Linked DNA regions of Drosophila melanogaster. The protein of the gene in region 1 interacts with the protein of each later gene in a pairwise test. Each region holds a gene or a part of one and is shown in the gene's direction. Other genes may lie near its edges. The genes, in order: CG31111, Cpr72Ea, CG4324 and geminin.

Region 1 (3,173 bases):
GATTTGGGACTTCTGCCGCAGTAGGGATCCAAACTTTTCGAAAAATCCATCATCTCCGTCTTGCAGTCTGCGGAAAAAGTGCAATTAGTAAATAATTCGAAAAAAGTCATTAAATATTATCTGCACTGGCTAGTCATCACTTAATGGGGATTTCATTTCGATTAGGGATACTCGTACTATGAGCAAGCTTATGTAGATGTATTTGAAAGCCCAGTGAAAAATACCCTAAAACTGAGTCATGTTTTAGTTGCGAGTGGGTGGTAAAATCGATCTGTGGCTTCCCCCACTCCCTTACATCACTTGCCATTCCTCACGCACACACGTTAATTTCACTTGATAATCTTTAATTTATCTGATGACACAGTTCCAGTTCTCCAAAATGTTCATATTTGTCTAGAGAAATAGAAACACACATTTCGGCTCGTCTGGCGAACAAATGTTTGTCTATCGGTGAGTTTTCAAGTTTTCTACAGGTATGCGTGAGTCTGTATTTTATTCATCCAACTTACTGGTGTTCATGCTCCGTGGGTGGATTCATTTTGAGCTCCTGCAACTTGAAGAAGAAGCCCTTCCACATCTGCTCCTCGTCCATTGTGATGTTGCGTTTTTAGCTTCAGAGGCACTGAATCGAAATCGGAATCCAACAAGTGTCACCGGAGTGTAGAAACATACTAACGGCTTATTTGCACCGAAACCGAAACGAACAAACGATGTGATTCATTGCCAAAGCTGCTCTCCGACGTAGATTTTTCTCAGTGGTATTCACACGCTCTTCCCTACACTATCGCAAACACATTATAATGAGCTATGGATGTTTGTAGTATCTAACATTGGGCGAAAGTGGGGAAATGGGAAGGAACGGGATGATACATACAGACAGACACCTGTTGCCATGGTGATCGGACGTTTTTTCTAGCTCTCATGCTAATGATTTTAAAAACTTATAGTTTGTAACTCTTGAAATTGTTGAATGAAAATCCATTAAGAAGTTACCAATCATCAATGGTTCTAATGGTGGTAAGCCTCACGCACACCTGTTTATGTACATATACTCTTGAAGGGCTAGGTGTTGGTATTCTTGTAACTACCTTTGCAGACTGGTGCTTCCATGGTCAAACTACGCACTTTAAGGCACATTTTCAGATGCCAAGCTAAATTATGTGCGCAACTATTTAACTACTTTAAAAACATACCTTATTTTTTCAAATATCCTTAATTCCGAGCGCCGGAAGTAACTTTTTAACATGATTAAGTCCTTTGCAAGGTCAGAATGCCAGATTGAATTAGGCTAAGAGGATTTGCAAATCCATTAGGAATTTCCTTAATTTCAATTCGAATTAACGTCTCCGTTTGTTTTTTTCGCACCCTTTAAAACTTTATTTATATCTTTTAAAATAAACAAAGATTAGATTAGATCAGTTTTGTTTATTAATTTGGTATGTAAGATATACCAACATAAATGAATCTACCGAATACCGTATTTCGATAACTTACGAATGGCAGCCCTGCAGTCCGATAATCATAACAAACCCACGGCAATAACAACAAACAAATCGTATCTCTTGTTTTTGCTGAAATTATAAATTAAAAAGCAATGAATTTAAAGTATAAGCGGCGCTACGAGAGCTTAAAACGCTCCGTCAAGAGTTATCTACTGGTAAGATCTTAGAAACTAGGGCGAAGTTATGCAAACTTAAGAGTATTTACAAGAAACCTTAAGATTCCTACTCACATATATGTTTACATTATAGCATAAAACATTTACGGGAAGTTATATGATCTATTAACTTTATAATACCAATTTCAGGAGAACGCCGCCCTCACGGATGAGATCTGTCGTCTGCAGGCCGAACTATCTGTGACCCGATCCCAAAGACTTTACTTGATAGAGCGCCTCATGTTTCACGAGGGCTTGGAGAAATCCAACAGTGGACGACCCAGTGTCTCGAATGGAAAAAACGACGCCGCTGAAACCACAAAGAAATACAGTCCTGTAGTTTCGCATAAGAACCCCGTCGAAGATAAGCCAAAAAATGTTACAATTGTACGGAAAAAGAAGCCCATGTTTCCGATGAACCTAAATAATGTATTACTCCACTCACTGGGCGAGATTATATCAGTGAATCCCAATTTTCACACTGAGAGCTGGATATATCCCGTGGGATATGTGGCCACACGAATCTACGCCCATCCCAAGGATCCGCGCAAGAAGTGTGTGTTCACATGTAAGATTTTAAATAACGCCGGGATTCCTCAGTTCCAAATAATACCCGACAATGATCTGGATGGAGTTTTCTTCGGAGAAAGCGCCAATATGTGTCACATGGAGCTTCTAAACTCCATTCAGCGGTCTCCCTGCGTTAAAATTAAAATACCGTTCGACGTACAGGGCGAGGTTTTCTTTGGCTTGTCAAACCAAAAAACACAATCGCTGCTTATGATGGATCCTGCCTTTCATCAGTGCACGAATTTCAAGGGATTCGCGGTGCAGAATGTGCAGTCCTTAAACAGCGCGTCTTTATCCTTTGAGACGCTCCAGGGATTTCTATCTTGATAAGATCTGTTTTTACTATTTGATTCTCGATATAAGAATAATAAGTTTATAATATAAAGACGAATTTTATTTCTCTGATACAATCGTTGCGAGAAGTACTTAGTTATGTACCTAAGTATGTACCTGGTACATGATACGAAAACACTAAAAACCCGAAACAGCTGATCTGTTTCAATTCCATCTCGTCCGTTTCAAAATATACTTTCCAGCTGTATAATACGTTATAATACAGTTTAAAATATTAAATTATTACGAGTGTTTGGGACAGATTGGTTAACAATTTCCAGTTAAATAGATAACATATTATTCTAAAAACTCTTTGTCCCACTTCCGCATGATTCAATGTGCTAAAATCATATGTTTTATGTGGGCATTCGCGGTTATTTCAAATGAAACTGTGCATTTGTACAATTGTTGTCAACTATCGACTTTTCTATAGAAATGCCGAAAAAAACAAGCTGGCAACCTGCCGAGGCAATCGGAAATACAACCCTCGAATCGAAACATATGTACACAACACCTATCTGAAAAGTATTAAACAATATTTTGGGAAAGTTGTTTTGGCTAGCGTTAAATTAAACGACATCCCAACCAGCAGCTGAGGATATAGCCAACCAAC
Region 2 (3,528 bases), on another chromosome or scaffold:
TTTAGACTGATTCGTTTGCTCTTTTTTTCTAGGACATAAAATCAAAGTACTCCCAGTCCTGAAAAATGAAAAACATGATTCTTGCCACCTGGCCTATCTTAAGTGCACCTTTAATTAGCCACGAAGGCAGTTCAAAGAACCAATGGTGGTACACAAATCAGGGCACAGTCCACTCGAGACAGAACAAAGGGAGTGAACCAAGTGGACCGGACTATATTGCCAATCCAACTTCAATTCCAGGCCAGAACTAACCAGCTCATTAAGCCAGGCTGGAATGGTTGTAGAGAATTGGGCTTTGATTGAAACTGAGTGCCAACGGGGCTAACATTAAAACGCACTTATCAGCCGAGCCGTCAAGGCCAATCCAATGTGGTTCTTGCAGTTGCTCCTCCTCCTCCTCCTAATCGGGAGCGAAGTTTAAGCACCAGAGATCTGAGGCATCCGATAAGCCCGCTGCTAAAAATAAAAATGACCAGCGAAGGAGGAACAGGAGATACCAATGCAGCTGCAGTGCATCAGAGGCGGATGGGAAACATATTCTTAGGGGGTTTTCTTAGTGTCCGGTTGAAATAAGTATATATCTTCAGTGTATACTATAAGGTGTCTAAAAATTCACATTATATTATTTATTTAGCGGACTTAACGATTTAATTAACCCTTTTCTGTGTCATATTTGTAAGCTCTTCGCATAAAACATATATTTCTTATGTACATACATATGTATCTAACCAAGTATTATAATTTTTAAGGGTACTTATGACCCCCCTAAGACCCCCATTTTGTTCGCCACTGGAGTGCATGACTCCCGTGTCCAAGCTGTGGCCAAATGTGGCCCTTGGCCTTCACTCACCTTGAGATGCCGTTGTTGTCGTCGTCGGTTGTTGCCACAGTTGTTGCATTTGCTGTTGCAGTTGAAGTTGCTGTTGTTGTCGTGGCCCCGTTGCAGTGTGCGAACAAAAAGGAGGCTGAGATGCCACAATGCTGTGGCAGCAACAACGATTGCATATCAATTACACGCTGGTCTGGATGCGGTCTTTGGCCTTGATGGTCCACCCAGCCAAGGCCCTTGGCTCGCTTGCAGATCCAGATGCAGATGCAGATGGAGATGCCAGGCAGCGATTGCTCCTCCCGCTGCGGAGAACCAGGGTCTGCCTCCCTCATTTGGGCCCACTCCAGCCTTGGCCACAATTAAACCAAATTGACAACGCCTTCACGAGGCGTCGATCCCCAAAAGGGGAGTGAAAGGCGGAGCTGCAATGTCCGTTAACGACACAAGTGGACACGACGACGCATTCGCATCTCCTCGTTTGCATTGAAGTGCATCTGATGGATACATTTGGAGAAAAAATTAATTGGCTGTTTACTATTTTAAAATGTGACAGATATTATTACTATTAGGTTATTCTTTAATGAAATACGTGTGCTTGTACAAATTTGATGAATTCTATTTAAGTACAATAAACCACCTTTTTTATCAATAATAAAATATTTTTTTAATGATTGTCATAATCATAAAATTAAAATTTCAGGAATTTAAGAACAGTCTTTTTTAGCAATATTATTATTTATATGCATTTAAATTTATGTTTTAAGCTTTGTACAAATCATTATTAAACAAATTACGAACTACTTATTTTTGGATTTAATTTAAGTCATAAAAATCACGTTACTATATTAGGGTAAAAGAGCATAAAACATTTGTATACTCTCTTAGATAATAATATGGCATACTTTTAGAATTTTTTCGCAGTGTATCAGAATAGAAGCATCTGACCGGCAGGAACCTCAGCCAGAACCAGAACCTAGAACTCGCGAAAGAACCTGCTGGGTATAAAAGGATGAAGACCTAGGCTCAGAATCAACAGTTACCAGTGAACTGACGAACAAGACTCACTCGAAGCAATCTTCCACTGCCCAACCATGAAGTATCCACTTCTGCTGTTAGGAAGCCTCAGCTTGGCCCACGGACTGGCCTTGTACTATCCCTATGCGTACACTGCCGAGGGATCCGCCGTGTTCACGCCCACCCAGCGCCAGTATATCGCCAAGGATGAGTTGGGTCAGTACTCCTATGGCTATTCGGAACCATTGTCCAGCAAACAGGAGACCCGCACCCTAGACGGAATCACCCAAGGATACTATAGTTACCGGGATGCGGCGGGAAAGCTGCAAACGGTTAACTATGTGGCCGACAACAAAGGTTTCCATGTGGCAGCCACTAATCTGCCAAAGGCTAAAGTTCCCCAGGAGTCGCTAGAATTTAGTCCCAGGAGCGCGTCGCATCCAGTAGACCACCATGTTGAGCATCACGCGGAGGTGTCGCATGCTGTAGTTCAGCATCCTGTTGGCCACCATCCCATTGAAGTTCCACATCATCACACTGTTGTTGAAAGCGGACGAAGTGCTCATCCAGATGGACATCATCCCGTCGAGCACCACGAGCACCGCGTTGCTGTAGCTCAGCATCCTGTTGGCCATCATCCCGTGGAAGTTCCACATCATCACACTGTTGTCGAAACCGGCCGAAGTGCTCATCCAGATGGACATCATCCCGTCGAGCACCATGAGCACCCCGTTGCTGTAGCTCAGCATCCTGTTGGCAACCATCCCGTTGAGGTTCCTCATCATCACACTGTCGTTGAGAGCGGTCGAAGTGCTCATCCAGAGGTGCCCCATTCTATCGAACACCACGAGCACCCGGTTTCTGGCTCAGACCCATCCGGATCCCATGGTGGCCACTCCCAATTGCCTCATCCCGTTTCTGATACCGCAGAAGTGGCTGCGGCCAAGTCGCTTCATCTTCAACGCGTCCACGATGAAGGCGTGCGCAACCAGGTGCTGGCCAAGATTCCAGTTGCTGTGGCTCGCAGCCACCATGTCGTGGTTCCTGCTCCGGTCTACGGCTACACCATTCCCAGGTACTACACCCCCGGATTTTACTATTGAATGGCAGCTGAATTCGCACGATTTGGTTCATTATTTAAGAATTTCGAATTTAAATTAAAAAATTGTCAATCAGTCTGCAACGTTTCTTTTGAAGTGGTAATGGGATAATATAAAGAAATTTTTAGCAAATTCATTTTGGTAACACAATATTTGTTCGAAATATATTCTTTCTAAGTATTCTTTCTAAAATTATTCTTCAATCAACAAATTTCTTTATAATTTCTAGTTTTAACATTTGTATCTTTATTTGAATATAATCATAACTAAACTCGCGACACCTAAAGTTCAAGATCCGGCTGAACTGAACCCTTTAGCTGCCCAACTCCTGGACTCACGGAACACGTTCACTCGGACCCTGTCCTACCTCAACCTTTTGGCCCCCCGACCCACCGATCACATTCCACATATGTGCAGCATAAACTCTTCATAAATGTGGGCCGAATTTTGATTTCAATTAAATTTAATAGCAGCATAAACAACGGCAAAGGCAACAACCTAAATAACTAAAACTGGAATTGGTAGCCGGCGTGTCCTATAGCCCCACCCGGTTCCTTGACCCCTATCCGGATGATTTGCAGCTCA
Region 3 (4,667 bases), on another chromosome or scaffold:
CTCCTCCTCGCCCTCTTCTTCTTCCTCGCCATCGAACATCCGCTGCTCCTTCTTGGTCATGCGCCTGTAGTAGCCCACAGGAGCGATGTAGGTACCCGCTGTGATGCGACCTATCAGAGTCCGTAGGTAATGTTTCTCCTTTCCAGGGAAGCAGGGGTAGGATATGACATCCGCCTCCAGATCGCCTGTTAGGAACTTCTTGATCTGCCGCGAAACGACAATCTGTCGAGGGGTCACTATAGGTAGTTCGATCCAGTCGTCAAATAGCGAGTTCACAACGAAATAGGAGTACCTATTGCAGCCCTTGCCAATGAACTCCGGTGGAATGTCGTAGAGCTCCATCTCCTCCACCAGGGGAACGGGCGCAGCCTTGGGCTTCATCTTCTCGAGCTCCTCAGGCGGAAATTCCTCCCAGCCATAGATGCCCGGTGTGAGCTCCGGCCCAATGTGCGCCGGCGGTGGCTTGTCCTCCCTGTCCTTGCGCATCGGGAACGGAATCTGCTTCTGCCGCATCTCTTCCTCCATCATGACCAAGCGCGAGGCGATTTCCTCGCGGGTGAGCGAAGCTTCCACTATGTAGTAAGAGGCCTTCAGTCCGTTGATGCAGCCCCAGAATCTGCATTGCATGATCGAGGGATGCGTCTGCAGCCGGTTCATGGCGCTGGCCAGCTGGAAGATGTCGTCGTTGCTGATGCTAAATCCGCACTGTGTCCAATAGAACTGCAGCTGCTGGACTCGCTCGTTGAATGTGACGAAGTATCGCATGGAATCGTCGATGACAATGCGCATATCCTCGTTCGTTCTCAAATCCTCGACGGACAGGTCTTCGCCCATCAGATCCTCACCCTCAACGACATAGGGCAGCTATGCGAGATGGTAGTTGCGTGGTGTAGCTGCTTATATACATAACACACTGCTCACCTTCATGGATTGGAGAATTTTCTTGGCCACCCGGAAAGATCGCACCTCATCGAACACGCCACTGGGCGGAAAGCGTTCTGGCAAGTGGAACTTCTGTTCGCGAACATTTCGGCTAAATTCCTCGAAGAAGTCTATCACATTCGGAGGACGTTCGTCAATCACCCTCTTTATGATGTCACTAAGATGATCGAACCTGCAGGGATTGAAGATTGGGTTATGTACTAACCGACTTGGAGAAAGAGTACCAAGTACTTAAGACGATATCCTATACTCACAAGTTGTCCCCACTGAGGGTGCTATACTTCTGCAATATGGACTTGGCCACGTTCAACTCATAGCCAATGTTCGGGGCCTCGGGATTCCGGGCGTTGTGGAGGTTGCATTGCGAATCGAAGGCGCCTATGGATATGGTGGTTGTCGAGGACGAGGATGACGATGTGACGTTGGAGCATTCGGGAGATGCCTCCTCAGCTGCGGGCTTCTCCGGCTTCTTCCTTCTGGGCGCGCAAACTGGCGGAGGAGCAAAATGGGAACTGCTCGTGGAGTCTAATGAGAAATTTTGGCAGGAATCCCTGTCCATCGCGATGGAATAGTGAGACTCTGATCTAAAATCCTCAAAAGCATGTGTTGTTTGGCTTGGGAAAACCCAATAATTGTAGGAGTAATGGTTTGACAATCAGCCTATTTAGTTATTTTAAAAAATATTTTCAATTCCATACAAATAATACCAACTTGCAATGTTTAATGTTAATAATCTTATAACTTATCAACGATTTTGAATTCTTCGAGCTGCGCGCCATCTATCGTTATCGATCTCACAGTCTGGAAGACAGTCTTCTTCAGTCGTTACCTTATAACCAGTTTTTGAGACTTGGTGGTGCGAGTTGTTTACATTGCATTCGATTCTCAGTCTCTCACTGGCTAAAAGAAAGTGCTTGAAAGAAAGTTGTTGTTTGTGCTGTGGCTTAAACTATTTGTTGTGTGTTTCCTAATCAGAATTAGCAGAATTAACTAACTTCGAGATCGCAAATTCGAATATGTTCAAATATAATGGATAAATCTCTGTGTATCTGCATACGAAGACATAAATCACAGTCTTAAAATCGAGAACAACTTTCTTTACGGTTGAGGAAGGTAATTTATGCTAATGCATAATAAAATCATAAAAATCATGATGTAATCGAAATCGCGGGTTAAAAAATGTGATATTTGATATAGTTGGATTGTAAGATGCAATTCAATGACAAAGTTACTTTTCTAAGTGATTCTAGATTCAAGATGTACTATCTGAACAACGAGCCAGCCGCCCTTCCATCTCCCGCAAATCTCGCCCCACGGGATGTGCACTCATCCACATTGGAGCTGAAGACGGTGTCTATAAATCCGGATGGTAAGTGGTCCGAAGAGGAATTTCACACATTTCGGGTAACAAGTGCACCTTTCACAGATACCTACACTGTTCAGCAGGCGATCAATGCCTTCGGTTTCGGATGGTTTCACGTCAAGCTGTCGCTCTTGGTGGGGCTCTGCTGGATGTCCGACTCCATGGAAATGGCCATTCTCAGCATATTGGGCCCGTCTTTGTTCTGCGAGTGGAATGTCACCAAGTTCCAGCAGGCATCCGTCACAACAGTGGTGTTTTTGGGCATGATGTTGAGTTCCAGTTTTTGGACACAGCTGAGCAACAGATATGGCCGGAAGTCGGTAAGACTGACTGGTAATCAAATAGCTAATAGCTACTAAAATGCCACCATTTCAGGCCCTCACATTGTTCGGAGTACTACTAGTGCTGTATAGCATTCTCAGCTCGGTGGCTCCCAGTTACGCCTGGCTCCTGACCCTAAGAGGTCTCGTAGGCTTCGCCATCGGCTGCGTTCCACAGTCGTGAGTAATTCCATGGACTAGGAGGTACCTCTCCACCTAAAACTTTCTTTAACCCAAAAGAGTTACCTTGTACGCTGAGTTTCTGCCCACCAAGCACAAGGGAAAGTGCGTCGTATTGATGGACGTGAGTACGTGCCACCGTGTGCTAAACGTATTTATTGAATATATTGTACTGGTTTCAGTGCTTCTGGGCCTTGGGAGCTTGCTTTGAAGTGGTCCTAGCACTGGTTGTGTATCCCTATTACGGATGGCGAGGTCTCTTGGCCCTTTCGGCTACACCCCTACTCATTTTTACCATCCTATCGCCGGTTCGTATTCCTCGCTCTCTTCAGAAATATCCTTAATCAAATGTATCTTTAAATCACTACAGTGGCTCAGTGAATCGGCTCGCTATTACTCTTACAACGGTCACAATGATAAGGCCATCAAGGTTCTGGAACAGGTGAGTGGTAACTTTATGGAGTGATTATACGTCTAAAAACCTACGATTGTAGATAGCTCACAACAACAAGCGCCACATGCTGATGGGTCGGCTGATGGCCGACGACGAGCCCAGTTGCGCGGAGAGCTTTAGATCCCTGCTCAGCCCGAGCCTGTACAGGACCACCATCCTGTTGTGGTTCCTCTGGCTGGCCTCGGCCTTTTGCTACTACGGCCTGGTGCTGGTCACGACCGAGCTGCTGGTGGCCAGGAACAAGGAGAGCCATCCCAATGAGTGCGTCACCTTCATGACCTCCGACTTTATGGACCTGCTGTGGATCACCCTGTCCGAGTTTCCTGGAATACTGCTGACCATCAAGGTGGTCAAGCTGTTTGGCAAGAAGAAAACCATTGTTCTGCAGTACCTGGCGCTGGTTCTGTGCACTCTGGTGCTGATGTCGGTGGAAAGGTAGTAGTGGTGCACACTCAATTGATCATCTGATAATCAATCCAATCCTCCTCCAATCCTAGTCGCTTCTCCACTTCCGTAACCCTCTTCATTGCACGCGGCACGATATCCGGCATCTTCCAGGCCATTTATGTGTACACTCCGGAAATATACCCAGCTGCCTTGAGATCCGTCGGAGTTTCGGGCTGTTCCGTGCTGGCCAGACTCGGCGCCATGCTGACCCCTTTCGTGGCGCAGGTGCTGATGGACTCGTCCAGAATTCAGGCCATGTCCACGTACGCAATCGTGGGCCTGCTGGCCTCCATAGCCTGCGTCTTTCTGCCCAGGGAAACTGTTGGCTACCACTGAGTGCACTGATTACCATAACTTATTATCTATAACTACTATTAAACCCATTAGTCCCTAGAAGCTGTGTGAATGTTTCATTCGGATTGCCTAGTTTTAGGCTTAGCGGGCTAGTAGTAATCTAAAAAGTCTAGAATAGATTAAGATGCTTCTAACAAGTAACAAAGCTCCTAAAGGGAAAGCTCTAGTCTAGCATTGGCATAAATACTCAGTTGAAGGAGGTGTTACTACTAACTACCCGTTTGTGTTGGTCTAATTGGTGACTAATCTCAACTTTGTAGGCCAATTTCCTCTTATTTATGATTACATTGCTGACAGGTGACAGGAGGAAGTGCAGTTGCAAATTAATTAAACAAGCCAATATTTCTGACCATAAACATTGCGAATAACGTATGGGATCGTATAAATAACTTCGTGCCCGCGCATATATTATAATACTTAATTAAATATGTATGCTGGCGCACTCTGGGTGCCGAAATCTATATGCACTCCTCTGACAGCCATAAACTTTCAGACCGTCCGCTCTGTTCGGCATCTAAGCACATGGCTATGCACATGCAGATGCAGATGCAGATGCAAATGCAGATGCAAATGCAAATGCATTTGCAGATACTGATGGGGATGCGGA
Region 4 (3,534 bases), on another chromosome or scaffold:
CCGGACTTGAGAAGCTATTACGCTGAGACTTGTTCAACTGGGATGTGCGCTTTACCGGAAGCACAGGCTCCGGCGTGGGGGCATTCTCATACAGTGGCAGGACCTCATCGCTGGGTTCATTGGCCACCTCGCTGGTGCTGCCGGAACGCTTTTGACGTGAACTCCCGAACAGGTTGTCCAGCATGTTCTTGTATTTCTTCTTCTTGGCCAGCTCCGATTCGGGATTGGTGCTGGACCGCGCAATCTCGCCAAGCTGGGCGCACTCAAAAGTGTTTATTCGCTGACGGTAAGGATGTGCGGGCAGCGGTGGCGGTGAAGGAGTCTCCATGACTGACGGCTTCATCTCTTCGTAAATGCCGGATGCGATTGAGACGCGGGAGATGCGGCTGCCGTCAAAAATCTCCTCGTATATTTGCGAGACTCGCGGAGAGAGAGCGCTAGCGTCGAGGGTTTCCGGCAGGTTAGGCAGTGGGCCCAGACCTCCGGGACCCCTGCTCAGCCGGCGCTGTTCTAGAAAGACCTGGCGATAAAGTTCCAGATTCTTAATCGACTTCCGCATCCATTTCATGTGACGTCGGCAGGATGTCTCCGTTTCCAGGGCGAAATAGATGAAGCAGTCCCGCCGATTTTGCGTCCAAAACAGCCCGTACGAGTGCTGCTTCGTGCGCGAGGTAGCCAGGCTCAAGCTGACGCCCGGAACGTTTACGGAGACGCTAATGGGTTTAGCGGGGTGACACTCTTGGGAGTGAGACTCGGTCTCCATGGCCTGGAAACTGAGCCGCAGGAAGCAGGGCACACACTTAATGGCCTCTATTTTCACTTGGCAGCGGGTCCATGTCTTGTAACGCAGCGCCACTGGTCGCTTATCGTGTGTATCCAGCTTGGCGTCCATAGTCATGGAGATTTCGTTGTGGTCCATCTTGGGGCTACTGCTACGTGGTGGGGCGGATGGAGGTGCGGTGAATGAGTTGCGAGTGAAAAATAAAAAAGTAAACGATCTATATCCGCTACTTCGAGAATTACATCTTTTTTGCGACTGGGTGGAGCTCTTATCGGCTATTCTCTTATCGCACGTTTATCCTTCGTGTCCTCGTGACGTGACTGGCGTTGCCACCTGGCGGAATATCACAGAAATCGCGTTTCTAGAAGACCAACAAATGAATTTATAACTTCAATATACATCAATCAAACTTAAGGTGCTCAGCCTAAGCTACACAGCTCTTTTAAGTTCTTTATTTATACTTTTAAATGCTAAATGCTTACATGTTATTTGGACATCTTGAGTACTAGCTTAATAAGAAGGTAGTATCCAAGCAATTCTTATTTATAATCTCTTAACTAATTTACACAATCTTTTAAATTATTTTCAAGATCCATAACCAGGTCTAAAACCAAACAAATAAAAACTAAAATCCTATTTATACTTCGCTTTATAGCTATTTTAATATTTATTATTAAAAAACGCTAATGATGTTTTCAAAAATGTTAGGCATTTCCTTTTAGTATTTAAAATTCTACATCCGACATTGGGGTATATTTGACTTCTACTTGGCTGAGTATGAATTATGATTTGCAAAAGAAGTAAAAATTTAACTTTAAAATTAGGTATCTGTCTAACTGTTTTTGTCGTTTAAAACACAGGGTAGGTATGGTTTTCTTTCAATTTAAAAACATCGCTAGAAAACTGTTTCCAAAAAGTAAGCTGCATTTTTTGTTTTTAGTTTTGCTTTATACAGAAATTTTAATACTATACTTTTTTGATAAGCATCCACCAGCAAGAATACAGCAAGCTTTTATTTAATATTTTATTAACATAATTATTTAATATGAATGATTGGTAATATTTTGAAGTACTCTACTACATAGCAGTCGTAGGATTTGTTATTTTTCACATTATTTTTGTAGGTTTGTAATTATATTTTAAGGGATATCTTAATTTTACATTCCTAAAATAATTTGGTAACTTTTTGCGATAGTCGTGACACGAAATCGAGGGATGAAATTGCATGTGATGCAGCCCCTTGAGCAAACAGTGTTGGACAACAGCGCGCGGCATCGGCATTTTTTGGCGGCCATTACAACGAATGGAAAACTGTGAAGCGTTGCGCACAAATTAATGCATAAACAACAGACAAGCAAGTAGCACACGCTCTGCCGCCTGACAACCAAACCCACCGAAAGCACAATACACATCTCCGAAGATGTCTTCGAGCGCTGCCAGGGTCTACATCCAAGTCGAGACAGAGGCCGAGCAGAAGGAGCACCTGAAGCAGCAGAGACAGACCCTGAAACCCTTGCAGGGCAACGTAAACGATAAGGAGAACCTCACTGGTTCAGGGCGCGCCTCCATCGTGGATCAGCTGAGTCGTCTGAAGGCCGGCGTCCAAGTCGCGCCCAAGTACGGCAAGCGCAAATGCGTGGACACGGCGCCCGCGATTTCCACAAAGGATGCGGATACCCAGACTGATGCTGAGGCCGTTCCGCTTGGCAATGCTGACAAGCCCATCACGGCAGAGGATCTCACTAGCACAGCCGAACCCGGCGAGAACTACTACAAGCTGCTGGCCGAGCAGCGGCGACTGGCGCTGGAGGACTCGCTCACCGAAAACCGCCATCTGCACGAGCGCATCGAGGGGCTTGAGGAGGAGATGGACACTATGCGCCAGGAACTGGACGAGGCCAAGAATTTGGTGGAGGTCCTGAAGGAGATCTGCGAAGAGGACAACAGCGAGGTGGAGGAGGACGACACTACGGGTGACGAGGACAAGGTCAACGCCTAGGCTACACACCAATCACACGTTTTTTTTAGTCTAAGGTTTTACATTTAGTTGTAGTTAAATATCGCGTTTATATCCCTGTTCGTCGTCAGCCAACACAACGGCTGGTCTAATTGTACGCCAGCAATATATTTACTTGTTACACGCCAGTTATAATCCTAATAAAGTTTTACATTTGCACAATTGCACACAATATTTAATTCGTATTCCTGTATTTTATGTGCAACTTATATAAACCATTTCGCATCCATATGCTAGTTTAGATATGCTCTTTTCCTTTCATTAATTCTACATCAAAACAAATGTGTTTATTAGCTTACATCAATGCGGATGGATTTCAATGTGTGGGGAGCTAACGCAAAAATAAAATACTCAAGGTACAACATATTTTTGAGACAAATATTTATTGGATGTAAAACTGTGAACTGCTACTTAAGCCAATCTGTAATAACTTCCTCGCTGTGGAAGTTATCCACGTCAAACTGCAATAAAGGAAGAGAAAAAGGTAAGTTTGGGAAGAGATACAAAGAACTAGTAACTCACCACAACGCACTCTTCGTAGGTGGGTACGGTGCCCACGATGTCTACATCGTTTACCACAGCGTTTATGTAAGCGGCATCTGCCTCGGCTGCCGCTATCAACACCGCAGTCTCGGAATCATCGGTCTCAGCGACGTGTGCAGCATCAGTTGAGGTGGCGGGATTCTCCTGCTCCTCCACCAAACCGTGAGCCGACTTCATGTGCAGGCGCAGGGCG

What was found.
Region 2: the proteins of CG31111 (region 1) and Cpr72Ea interact in a two-hybrid assay, tested with the Drosophila melanogaster proteins (one large-scale study listed by BioGRID).
Region 3: the proteins of CG31111 (region 1) and CG4324 interact in a two-hybrid assay, tested with the Drosophila melanogaster proteins (one large-scale study listed by BioGRID).
Region 4: the proteins of CG31111 (region 1) and geminin interact in a two-hybrid assay, tested with the Drosophila melanogaster proteins (one large-scale study listed by BioGRID).

The regions. Positions count from the first base shown.
Region 1 is NT_033777.3:25,054,519-25,057,691, reverse strand, and holds CG31111 (uncharacterized protein), read left to right. Parts: upstream 1-1,514; 5' UTR 1,515-1,594; coding exon 1,595-1,657; intron 1,658-1,807; coding exon 1,808-2,554; 3' UTR 2,555-2,616; downstream 2,617-3,173. Other genes in the region: stac (staccato), read right to left, coding at 1-67, 510-592.
Region 2 is NT_037436.4:16,360,730-16,364,257, forward strand, and holds Cpr72Ea (cuticular protein 72Ea), read left to right. Parts: upstream 1-1,873; 5' UTR 1,874-1,920; coding exon 1,921-2,946; 3' UTR 2,947-3,021; downstream 3,022-3,528.
Region 3 is NT_033778.4:24,014,348-24,019,014, reverse strand, and holds CG4324 (uncharacterized protein), read left to right. Parts: upstream 1-1,816; 5' UTR 1,817-2,055; intron 2,056-2,183; 5' UTR 2,184-2,199; coding exon 2,200-2,311; intron 2,312-2,368; coding exon 2,369-2,625; intron 2,626-2,680; coding exon 2,681-2,805; intron 2,806-2,865; coding exon 2,866-2,929; intron 2,930-2,987; coding exon 2,988-3,113; intron 3,114-3,175; coding exon 3,176-3,247; intron 3,248-3,299; coding exon 3,300-3,694; intron 3,695-3,756; coding exon 3,757-4,042; 3' UTR 4,043-4,098; downstream 4,099-4,667. Other genes in the region: Rsph4a (radial spoke head protein 4a), read right to left, coding at 1-864, 922-1,114, 1,197-1,501.
Region 4 is NT_033778.4:6,654,897-6,658,430, reverse strand, and holds geminin (geminin), read left to right. Parts: upstream 1-1,836; 5' UTR 1,837-1,905; intron 1,906-1,976; 5' UTR 1,977-2,201; coding exon 2,202-2,780; 3' UTR 2,781-2,968; downstream 2,969-3,534. Other genes in the region: sced (scrambled), read right to left, coding at 1-919; Opbp (Optix-binding protein), read right to left, coding at 3,206-3,259, 3,321-3,534.